Linked DNA regions of Macaca fascicularis. The protein of the gene in region 1 purifies or fractionates together with the protein of each later gene. This does not show direct contact. Links are inferred from orthologs where the notes say so. Each region holds a gene or a part of one and is shown on either strand. Other genes may lie near its edges.

Region 1 (3,647 bases):
CTATGGCTCATGCCTATAATCCCAGCTGCACTTTGGGAGGCCAAGGTGGAGGGATCACTTGAGCCCAGGAGTTCGAGACCAGTCTGGGCAACATAGGGAGACCTGTCTCTACAAAAATTAAAAATAAAAAATTAGCCGGACATGGTGCACACCTGTAGTCACAGCTCCTCGGGTGGCTGAGGTTGGAGGATCACTTGAGCTCAGGAGGTGATCAGTAAGCTGTGATTGCACCACTGTACCCCAGCCTGGGTAACAGAGCGAGACCTTATCTCAAGCAAAGTAAGGTATAACAGGCCAGGCAAGGTAGTTTATGCCTGTAGTCTCAGCACTTTGGGAGGTGAAGGTGGGACGATCGTTTGAGTGCAGGAGTTTAAGACCAGCTGGGCAATATAATGAGACTGTATCTTTAGAAAGAAAAACACGGGCAACCTGCTGGGGTCCCCTTCCACACTGTGGAAGTTTTGTTCTTTTCCTCTTCACAATAAATTCTTGCTGTTGCTCACTCAAAAAAAAAAAAAACATTTAGTCGTGTGTGGTAGCTCCTTGAGGTAGCTCCTTAGGAGGCAGCTCCTTAGGAGGCTGAGGCAGGAGGATGGCTTGAGCCCCGGAGTTCAGGCTGCAGTGAGCTACGATAGTGCCACAGCACTCCAACTTGGGCAACAGAGTGAGACCCTGTCTCCAAAAAACAATTTTAATTAAAAAAAATTTTTGTTGTTGTTGTTAAGATTGGAAATGGGACACAACCAGAAGAAAGCATCTGCAGTGGCACTTTAAACTGTTCAAGACATTCAAGTACAATATTGATTTAGCTTCAGGGTTGTGAGGTACTGTCTTTAATTAACTATTTGAAGTTGTTTTCAGACTGGGTTAACCAACAATGCTCTGGAAGAACTTAAGCATTCTTTTCATAATTTTCATTTACGTGAAGGCCCACTTCCTCACCATTATTGTGGATATTAGCATTGTCATACTGCCTAATATGACATTTTTTTTTTTAAATACTGCTTCTTTTGGAGCAGACCTAACTGACGGACAGTGTGCCTAGAGTAGCTGACTTTTATTTTATTATTATTATTTTAATTACAGAGCCTGGTTGTCTCACTCTGACAACCAGGCTGGGGTACAGTGGCGTGACCATAGCGTACTCTACATCTCTGACCTCCTGGGCTCAAGTGATCCTCCTGTCTTGGTATCTCAAAGTGCTGGGATTACAGGTGTGAGCCACAGCTCCCAGCCCTGATGTGCCTTTTTTTTTTTTTTTTTTTTTTAAACAGAGTTTCACTTTTGTCACCCAGGCTGGAATGCAGTGATGTGATCTCAGCTCACTGTAACCTCCGCCTCCTGAGTTCAAGTGATTCTCCTACCTCAGCCTCCCAAGGAGCTGGGATTACAGGTGCTCGCCACCACGCCTGGCTAATTTTTATATTTTTAGTAGAGATGGGGATTTGCCATATTGGCCAGGCTGCTCTCCAACTACTAACCTCAGGTGATCCACTTGCCTTGGCCTCCCAAAGTGCTGGGATTACAGGCGTGAGCCACCACGCCCAGCCGACATTTGTTTTAATACCTGTATCGTGTTTTTTTGAACATTGAACCTTCCATTAAGTTTGGAATCGCCTGTCAAATCCTACAGCAATTCAATTGTTTTGTTAGGATTTCTTTTAAAAATATCAACACTGGCTGGGTACAGTGGCTCACGCCTGTAATCCCAGCACTTTGGGAAGTCGAGGTGAGCAGATTACTTAAGGCCAGGAGTTCAAGACAAGCCTGGCCAAACATGGTGAAACTCCGTCTCTACTAAAAATACAAAAATTAGCTGGGCATGGTGGTGCACGCCTGTAGTCACAGCTACTTGTGAGACTGAAGCAGGAAAAACGCTTGACCCCGGGAGGCAGAGCTTGCAGTGAGCTGAGATCGTGTCACTGCACTCCAGTCTGTGCGACAGAGCGAGACTCTGTCTCAAAAAAATAAAAAAATTAACGCTATTTTAGTTATACTTACAAATAGTATTTGTTAGATATTTATTCTTATTAGTAGACATATTTTAATATTTTCTTTGCAAATCAGTTTCACACACATTAGTGCTTCCCAAATTTCCTGCCAAAGTATTCTGGTAGCAAAAGGGGAATGAACACATAAACTCTGAAAGGTTAGTATGCTGGGGGTGTGAGGTATGGATGGCCTTAGAGTTGTGGGGGCAGCTGGTCACACCTGCTCCTGAGCTGCCATGTATTTAGTTCTAGAGAAAAAAGTAAATGGTTAAAGTAATAAAAATAAATTTTAGGCCAGGCACGGTGGCTCATGCCTATAATCCCAGCACCTTGGGAGACCTAGGTGGGCGGATCATGAGGTCAGGAGTTCGAGACCAGCCTGACCAACATGGTGAAACCCTGTCTCTACTAAAATTACAAAAATCAGCCTGGCGTGGTTGCGGCACCTGTAATCCCAGCTACTGAGGAGGCTGAGGCGGGAGAATTGCTTGAACCCAGGAGGCGGAGGTTGCAGTGAGCCAAGATCACGCCACCGCACTCCAGCCTGGGTGACAGAGCGAGACTCCGTCTCAAAAAAAAAATTAACTAAAAATAAATTTTAGGCCGGGCGCACTGGCTCACGCCTGTAATCCCTGCACTTAGGGAGGCCGAGGCAGGGGGATCACCTGAGGTCGGGAGTTTGAGACCAGCCTGACCAATATTGAGAAACTCCATCTGTACTAAAAATACAAAATAGCCAGGCGTGGTGGTGCATGCCTGTAATCCCAGCTACTCGGGAGGCTGAGGTGGGAGAATCACTTGAACCGGGAGGCAGAGGTTGTGGTGAGCCGAGATCGTGCCATTGCATTCCAGCCTGAGCAACAAGAGTGAAACTCCATCTCAAAAAAAAAAAAAAAAAAGTTAATGTTTATTGAATTATTAACTTGTGTCAGAAATTTTAAGCATTTTTCTATATGCTTTCCATATTTACAGTGGCCCTAAGTGGTATACATAATTTTGTCATGAGACATATCAATTATTTGTAGATTTTAGCTGCGATAGAATATATGCTTCAGTAACAGGAATAATCAAAAGCTATCACGTTACTTAGTGCAGAATAATGTATTTCAGTTTTTAGCTAAGTTATATGGATAGATTTTCAAACTCAGTACCAACCCAGCTTCTCCTAACCGAATAAATTAGAGGCATGCAATTTGATGGTCTTGGTTGCCACTTTTGGCAGAGTATGTATACCAAGAACTGGCTAGAAATTCCACACCCCACCCACTCCTTCCTTCTTTCCTATTTTATCAGGTGAAGACACTCAGTGAAGCTTGCCTGATGGTAAGGAAACCAGCCCTAGAACTTCTGCATTACCTGAAAAACACCAATTTTGCTTATCCGGCTGTACGATATCTTCTGTGTATCCTTTCCTGCCTGCTTGGACCCTCATAAACCAATGCTTTCTCCCCTCAAATAAGGGAAAAGAAGAAATGAAAAAAAGTACTATGGAGGCCAGGCACTGTGGCTCACACCTGTAATCCCAGGAGTTTGGGAAGCTGAAGCAGGCGTATCACCTGAAGTCAGGAGTTCAAGACCTGCCTGGCCAACATAGCGAAACCCCGCATTTACTAAAAATGCAAAAAATTAGCCGGGTGTGGTAGCATGCACCTGTAA
Region 2 (3,610 bases), about 87 Mb from region 1:
GCGCCACTGCACTCCAGCCTGGTGACAGAACACGACTCAAGTCTCAAAAACAGAAAAGAACAGCCAGACTAGGCTTAGGCTATAAGGTGTTGAGAACCACATAATTACAAGTTCACCAACCTCCATGTTCTAAGCAGTTTTCCCATGGGTTTTATATTATTTGTTTCCATCTCTAGGACATAAGCAGCTGAACCACACCAGGCATTGTGACAGGTTCTCCTAACACTTTAAAGTTGACATCTTCAATTGGCACACTGAAATAAATTCTCCGAACGTGACAAAACTAAGTGGAGCAGGATGAGAGTCTGGTTGGTTTAGGTTAGAGCAATGCCCTTTTAAACACTGCCTCACAGCCAAAGGAACCCACACAAAAAAAGCCTTCCTTACAAATGAGCTAATCCTTCAATGAAAAATAGCCAGGTTATCAAGAGTATGTATTTTCTAATTTTTATTATGGGCCCACAGGCATGCCACTTAAAGGATTAGAGATTTTAAAGACATTTTACCTGAGGGAATTGCCAGTGAGCATCATCTATTTGTAGACTGGGTCAAGCTGAGGGTCCTACAAATAGCTAAGAACTTAAACTAAAGCAAAACTAGACAAATTTACACAAAGACAATTATTTAAGACCTTTATTAACAGGTGCTTGCAGTTTGTTGACTTTTTTGAAAAAATCAAGTTGTAAACTTTTATTACAAATTAAAAATGAAGTTCTTAAAAATCTCAACTTGACCAGATATGAAACAATTTAAAAACCTTTAAAGGCGTATTGAGAAAAACCAGGCTTTTTTAAAAAACACGTTTGTTATTACCAAAAAGAGACGTCTTTAGGTAAAAATAATAAAAACCCCATGCTGCATAGATAATGCAGATAGTTCTATTTATCTGGTCAACGGGCAAAAAGCAAGCACTTAAGGTCTTCAGCTCCAATCTTTTGTTCATTTCTTATTGCTGGAATTTCATATTTCTTCTTGTTGGATGACTAAACTGTAAAGAAAAAAATAAAGATGATCATGTAGAATTCATGGTAATCTTCATTTAGTGTAGTACATGCTCTAGCTTACATTACTTGTGTATTGGGAGACATTAACAGATCTTTTGCCATCCAGCAAATAGCAAAGGGGAAAAAACCAAGAGCACTACTGGTTGAATGCTAATTTCGGAGGGAAGGACAATCACACACCTCTCGATATCATGTAAAATGCTGAATGAAAAGGAATCCCTTAATTTTGGAATTAAGGGTAACAAAAACAAGTGAGCTAATAAGCCAAAGTAACAAGAACAAAAATGTATCATGTGGTCTGCCAGAGAATTACTACTATTAATCTATAGGCAGTTTAAATACACCATGATAAACCGTGAGTCATTCTCCTAGGAGTTTTTAGACACAAAACACTCTCATCTTTTTCCCGGAACAACATAAACCAACAAAAAACAATTAGAAATGATTAAAAGATTATATCGATGTTGCCACTTTCAGTGGGTTAATTCTAATAGCTATCCTACTTCTTTTTTGAAATAATGCATAAATAATAATGTAATTAACTTATTTCTCAGAATACAGCTAGCAAAACTTTCCTCCGTTTACTAGTGACATCATAAAATTCATTCAGAGAAGTTGATAGAAAGTGCTAACAGTTCAAAATACTCAAGAAAATACAGGTCTCCAGTGTCAGAATTGAGAACTAGCTGAGGGGTGGCCAAATATGACTATGATATTCAATATTCCTAAAATGAAATATTAGGTAATTAAGAACAGGGCAGAACACATTATAAATAACATGGCTTTATCTGATGGAACTGAGATTTTCCCCCTCTTGTATTAATAAAATGAAATGGTCACCACTCACAACTGTCATAAATGATGGCCATCCAAGCTTGCTTACCCGGATGATGGTAGAGATGGTAAGCCGGCATTTACTCAGCCCCGCCCTGCTCAGCCTCGGGAGCGGACGAATTCTCAGCTGGTGGATCGGCTGCTTTTGTCTCTTTGCCATCTTGTGGTTTAGGGTTTTCTGGGCGTCTGCGTCGGTAATTGAAGTTGCGGCGGTACCGACGTTGAGGTGGCTGCTGACCTTGGGTCTCATCTCCTTGATTTTCTTTATCTTCTTCATTGCCGTCCTCTCTAGGCTGTCTTTGGCGAGGAGGGCCCCTGCAATGAACAGTGTCAAATTTAAGAATGATAAAACCTTCTCTCTTCAACACACCTACCAGTGTTACCAGTTGGTTCACAACTAACTCACCATGTCTGGCCCATTCTCTGTATCAAGTGGTCTGTAGGCAATTTGTGTAAGGAGATTTTTTTTTTTTGTCAGGGGGGGTGGGTGTCGGCGGGTTGGGAGTCTTGCTTTGTTGCCCAGGCTAAAGTGCCATGGCATGATGACAGCTCACTGTGGCCTCTATCTTCCAGGCTCAAGTGATCTTCCCATCTCAGACTCCTGAGTAGCTAGGACTATAGGCAAGCCCTAATGCCTCATTAATGTCTGATTTTTAGTAGAGATATCTTGCTATGTTTCCCAGGCTGGTCTTCAATTCCCGAGCTCAAGCTATCTTCCCTCCTTGGCCTCCCAAAAAGTGCTGGGATTAAAGGGTTGCGTCTTTTAATCACCAAGATAAAGATACTAAATTTTGGGATTTTCTTTCCCCCAGTGCTCAGAAACGATGGATTCCTGGCCTTTCCTTCACCCATACCCTGAGCACTCCAGAAAGCCCCAGGCCTTTAGTATCTATCAGTTATCATGGGAATAAATTCACATTTACCTTTGTACATTCTAAAACTCTTTCCCCACATCTTTTGGAACTCATGATGAATCTTCAACAAAATTGTTCTGACTTTTCTCTGTAACCCTCCAGTGGTGACTGTTCTAACCTTATTGTGGCTTCTAAATCAACTCTCCTAGCTTCTAAAAACTGTAGGCGTTCCATCTTATTTTGGATTCTGCTCCATTTACTATCTTTTTCTTATTGCAGTTATTATTAAGGTTCGAGGATAACAGCTTCTAATAACCTGGGCTTTCAGACCGACCTCCCAGTCCAGCTGTTTTCTACCTGGGTTTTCTCAGTTATACTACCCACCTTTCCAATTATGTACCTTCTGATTTTTCCTAGTTAATTCCTTATTGTTTTCTCATTCTTCATCTAGGACCTGTAATACAGCGATCCTATCACCTGTTCATCTCACTCCAAGGTTGGGCACAGTGGCTTACACCTGTAATCCTAACACTTGGGGAGGATCACTTGAGGGCAGTTCAAGACTGCTTGAGTAACACAGTGCAACTCCATGTCTACAACACAATTTTTAAAAACCCCTCATGTTCCCCTTTTCTCCCCTCTTTATCCAAGTATAAAGTCCACCATTAATCATATGACCAATCCCTACCCCAGGGTCTAAGTCTGGATAAACCAATGCCAGAGAAATCCAACTCTCTGCCCAATCTGAGCCTGATGCTCAAATGGCTAGAAACACAGAGCCAAGCTGGGTGAACTCACTTCTAATTTATGATTGTTATCCTATTACTTACAAATTTACCATCTCTATTTTCTCTGCTACAGGGTTCTTTGCCCCAAACTTTTCAAACTTCCTCTTCTTTTGACTCAATTGAGCAAACA
Region 3 (4,252 bases), about 100 Mb from region 1:
ATCTAAAAGAGCAGGCTGACACCACAGCTGATACTTTCAAACAGGTATTTCTATTCTTTGGTCTATTTATCACACCCAGAGTTGTGAATTCTGGTCACTAAACCAACTACTTTTTTTTATAACAACAACAAAAAAAATGCAAGTCTGACAGTCAAAGCCCACTTAGAGGTTTGCAATACTTTCTCATACTCAATTGCAACCCAACTGGGTGAAGTAGCAGTATTTACAGTGCTGCACTGCCATTGATACCATTCGCTGCTGAAGAAAGCTAGTGGCCCAGTGATAGCCCACTGCTGCTGCCTCAGGTCTTTGGAAGAAATCAACTTATGTTTAAAGCAGCAGCTACTGAACTGGAATTGAGAACAAAAGAGCAGTTATTGAAAAAATAATATTACAATCTTTTAGAATAGGGAATATACTTGTGTGCTAATGGGAGAAGTCATTAGTAAATATTTAACTAGCCCAAATAGCTCACTTAATATAATTCCACAAAAAAATGAATTACTTTATTGTAGAAGCCTGTAAGGCTAAATTATAGGTAGTGTTACAAGTTTCCGTTAGCTAGTCAGAAACTGGCATTAATTTTACATTTCCTAAGAACGAGAACTTTCAAGTCATAAAAATATGAAACTCCTAGAGCCTGTAAAATAATCCATTTGATACAACTGATGCCGTGCTAAATATTAAACTACTAGGTTCTGAATATAAACCATTATCTCTTCCTGCTTTTAAAAAAAACTAACCCAACTTTTGCTGCACTTAAGCATTAAGTTTTCTAACATTTTGGAAGCAAAAAAAAAAAATAAAAACCATCACCGCATTTCATAATTGGGGAGAAACAGCTTCACTTACAAGTATCAAGACAAACCACTGTGTCATCGAAGTGTTCATCTTCTTCTTCAACAGGTGGCTGAGGAGATTTGGCTCTGAAAGACAGAATTGTCTCCTGATACAGCTTTCCGATCAACGAACGAATAAGGGATGACAAGTAAAACTAGGTGAGCATCCTATACCTGCTATACTTGTTCTCTTCAATGTACTCAAAATATCCACGGCCATGATCTTCTCGTGGTCTTTTAACACCCCTCTTTTTATCTCCGCCTTTCTGTTCTGTTTTGCCGTCCCCTAAAACACACAAGACCCCCATAAGAGGCCAGGCCGCTAAACAACAACAAAAAAGCGCTTTTCCGTTCCGAGAAGCAAAGCAGCTCGACTTTATCCTGCTTTTTAACTGAGGTTTTAACCGAGGACTCAAATGTGAATTCGAAGAACAATCAGCTACGAATTGGATTAGCGCTAGTGACGCAGTCTAAAGACGTTACGAATTTTGCCAGTCTCCTCGATGATTCGAGAAACCCAAAGAAAAACTGCGCGGCCCAGGCCCGAAGCCCACGTGTATCGCGACCAGGGCGCAGGAGGGGGAGGGGCCGAGCCCGGCGCGGCGGCGCTCCCCTCCCCCGCGGGCCCGCGCTCCCCGCGGCCGCATTGTACTGATCTTCCGCCCCCCGCCCCGCCCCGCCCGGCTCCTCCCGCAGGAAGTGACGTCACGCCGAGCCCCTGCGCTCCTTGCACAATACAGCGGCGAGGAGCCGCCAAAGCGCGCCCGCCCCGGGACCTGGGGCCTCTCCCCTCCCCCCGAGACATGTGCCCGCACCGCGCGCACGCAGCGCGACGGCGCCACCGCGGGCCGACCGGGCTCCCTCCCGCCGCCCGCCCGCGGCTCCTCCCCCTCCAGCGGCAGCTGCAGCTCCCCCCGGCTCTCGAGCCACATAATGGAGGCGCTGCCACCGCCGTCACACACACACACACACACACGAACACACGCACACACGCCCCGAGCCCGAGGCCTCTCGGCTAATCTGGGATTCCCCGCGCCCCCTCCCCCACCCGCCACCCTCCCCGCGGCCCCCGCCCGCCCGGGGCTCCCTCCCCCTGCGGGGCTCCGGCAGGCCTGGGGCACGGTCCCCACCCCGCGCGGGCCTCCCGCCGCGCGCAACGTACAACGCAGCACTCACCCGCCGCCGGAGCCCCGGGGCGACCGCCGCCTCCGCCGCCTTCCGCCTTCTTCTTACCTCCCGCCTGCTGCTGGCCCTGCCTCGCCCCGGGCGGCGCCACCGTCACCGCGAACAGCGAGGTGGGGCCGCTGCTCTTCCCCGCGGCCTCCTTGGCGGCCCCGCGCTGCTGTTGGGTCTGTTGCTGCTGCGTCGCCGGCGGTTGAGGCTGCTGCTCCCCGTGCCCGTTCTCGTCGCCCGCGCCTTCCTCTTCGTCCCCGAGCTCATCTTCCCCTTCCTGGAAACCCTGATCGTCGCCGTTCTCGTCTTCCGAGGCGGCCTCCTCCTCCTCCATCGGGCCCGAGTCGGCCGCCCCCGCGGCCCCGTTCTCCTCTCCTAGCTCCATCTGGTCGCCGTCCAGGGCGGAGATTCCTTCCTCCTCCTCTTCCTCTTCCTCCTCCTCTTCATCGCCGCCGACCGCGGCCTCCTGCTCGAGGCCTGCTCCCGAGCGCCCGGCGGAATCCCCGCCCAGGTCTAGGCTGCCGTTCCCGGGCTCCATGGCGGGGCGGCCCCCGGCCTCCTCGTCGTCCAGCGCGGCCTGGAGTCGCTCCATGAGCTCGGCCTTGAGACCCTTGTCAGAAAGGCGTCGCTTCTTGAGCTCCTCTTTCAGCTCCGACACCTTCAGCTTTTTTACATTAACAGGCGAGGAACTCATGGTGAGGGCCCCGATTCACCGCTAGGCGCTGCCTCAAACTCGGCTCCGCTCACTCGGCCACTGGTGGCGGCTGCTGCGGCTGCTCCTCGGCCCGGGCGGCGGCTGCGGCTGCGGCTGGAGATGGGGTCGTGCTGCAGAGCGGATCCGCCTGGTGTCGAACGGCGCCAATTCCTTTCACCGAGTTCGCGAGGGAGACGCGGAGACTCGCCTGGCGCGAGCGAGCACGCAACGTCCTCTCGCAGGGGCGGCGCCGCGCACGTAATATAGGCGCCCCGCCCCCTGCGCTGACGGGAGCGCTGCGCAGGAGGAAAGCCGGAGCGCGCCCGCGCTCGGCCCCGCCCATTACCGTACTTACCTCCCCGCCCCCACGCCGAACCCGGGCGGAGAGCGCGGCGCAGGCCGCGCAGTGCGCTTCCAATTGGGACTGAGCAAATGGAGGAAAAGGAAACCGCCTTTCAGTTAAACCGACTCACTGCACAATCTATTGGCCTTTCTGGGTCTTTGGTGGCTATACTCGTTTGGCTTTTCGCCTTCCCAGCCTGGAGGCTGCTTTGTCCAAATGCTTTCTTCAGTCCTCAACTTGGCATTTCAACCCGAATACGCCTTTTCTTCCATCTTAGATCTGCCTTCTTGTATGTTTCTCCAGCTTTTCGTTTAAAACTCCTTCAAATCGTTTTGACTGGTATAACACACATTGGCAACTGTTACACGCAGGGGCTCTTTTCAGCATAATGCTGTATTTGATTTAATATGTGTAAGTCCTGCTTTGCGAATTGGATTTTAAGTTCGAGAAGGGCAAGGGCAGAGCCGTTCTTTTGTCTGTTCCACACCCCGGGTGCAGGGCCTGGGAAGTAGAGGCTTTGCTTACTACTCCATACTGCAAACCCTAGTTTACCAGCCTTTGCAGGGCTATTCTCATGCTCTTAATAACCCTAAATAAACCACAGAATTGCATTTCCAAGTTTTCTGTACCTACCACAAAGACGGACCTCCAGTAAGGCTTGTTCTGTCCACTTTAGGACCTGGTCATCGGCTATGAAGTCTCAGTAGTTAACCATGAGGGTGAGACCCAGCTAGGTCTTTGATTATAGGCCCACTTGATTCTCTTCCTATTCCTGTAGAAATACTCTTGACCAAATCATTCTGAAACTTAAAGTTCATGAAAAATCAAGGGCAGTGATTTTGTTAAAAAAAAAAAAAAAAAAAAAAGGACTATCGCTCTTGAAAAGAAATCCGTTATTTTGTATGTTAGAAGTTTACTTTTTCGCTTTAAATAAAAGATGTGATGTTCCCGAAGTTTTAGACAGGGAAGTCAGAATTTAGATTCGTGATAGAAGTTAACGTCTTAAACCCCAGATAATCTGCAGTGTCCAGCCAGTGTTCCATCTGACTAAGGAGATGGTTTATACCCACTGTTTGGTACTCTAGGTGGCACAATAATATTGCCCCATTATTAATTTGAAATTTGGAGGTATACATATTGAAATTTCTCCCATAGGCTAATGGGATTTAACTGATTGATGCATTTTACTTTTGAAGTTTATTT

The links.
Region 2: the proteins of DAP3 (region 1) and YBX1 purify together in Homo sapiens (co-immunoprecipitation; 3 studies listed by BioGRID and IntAct, with this or other methods). This does not show direct contact. The link is inferred for Macaca fascicularis from reciprocal best matches to the Homo sapiens genes DAP3 and YBX1.
Region 3: the proteins of DAP3 (region 1) and HNRNPU purify together in Homo sapiens (affinity purification with mass spectrometry; 3 studies listed by BioGRID and IntAct, with this or other methods). This does not show direct contact. The link is inferred for Macaca fascicularis from reciprocal best matches to the Homo sapiens genes DAP3 and HNRNPU.

What each region holds. Positions count from the first base shown.
Region 1 is NC_088375.1:105,380,970-105,384,616, reverse strand, and holds part of DAP3 (small ribosomal subunit protein mS29), read left to right. Parts: intron 1-3,284; coding exon 3,285-3,393; intron 3,394-3,647. UniProt on the Homo sapiens protein: As a component of the mitochondrial small ribosomal subunit, it plays a role in the translation of mitochondrial mRNAs. Involved in mediating interferon-gamma-induced cell death. Displays GTPase activity in vitro.
Region 2 is NC_088375.1:192,168,968-192,172,577, forward strand, and holds the end of YBX1 (Y-box-binding protein 1), read right to left. Parts: intron 2,154-3,610; coding exon 1,919-2,153; 3' UTR 1,888-1,918; intron 989-1,887; 3' UTR 606-988; downstream 1-605. UniProt on the Homo sapiens protein: DNA- and RNA-binding protein involved in various processes, such as translational repression, RNA stabilization, mRNA splicing, DNA repair and transcription regulation.
Region 3 is NC_088375.1:4,313,790-4,318,041, reverse strand, and holds the start of HNRNPU (heterogeneous nuclear ribonucleoprotein U), read right to left. Parts: upstream 2,945-4,252; 5' UTR 2,707-2,944; coding exon 2,016-2,706; intron 1,126-2,015; coding exon 1,014-1,125; intron 927-1,013; coding exon 853-926; intron 1-852. UniProt on the Homo sapiens protein: DNA- and RNA-binding protein involved in several cellular processes such as nuclear chromatin organization, telomere-length regulation, transcription, mRNA alternative splicing and stability, Xist-mediated transcriptional silencing and mitotic cell progression.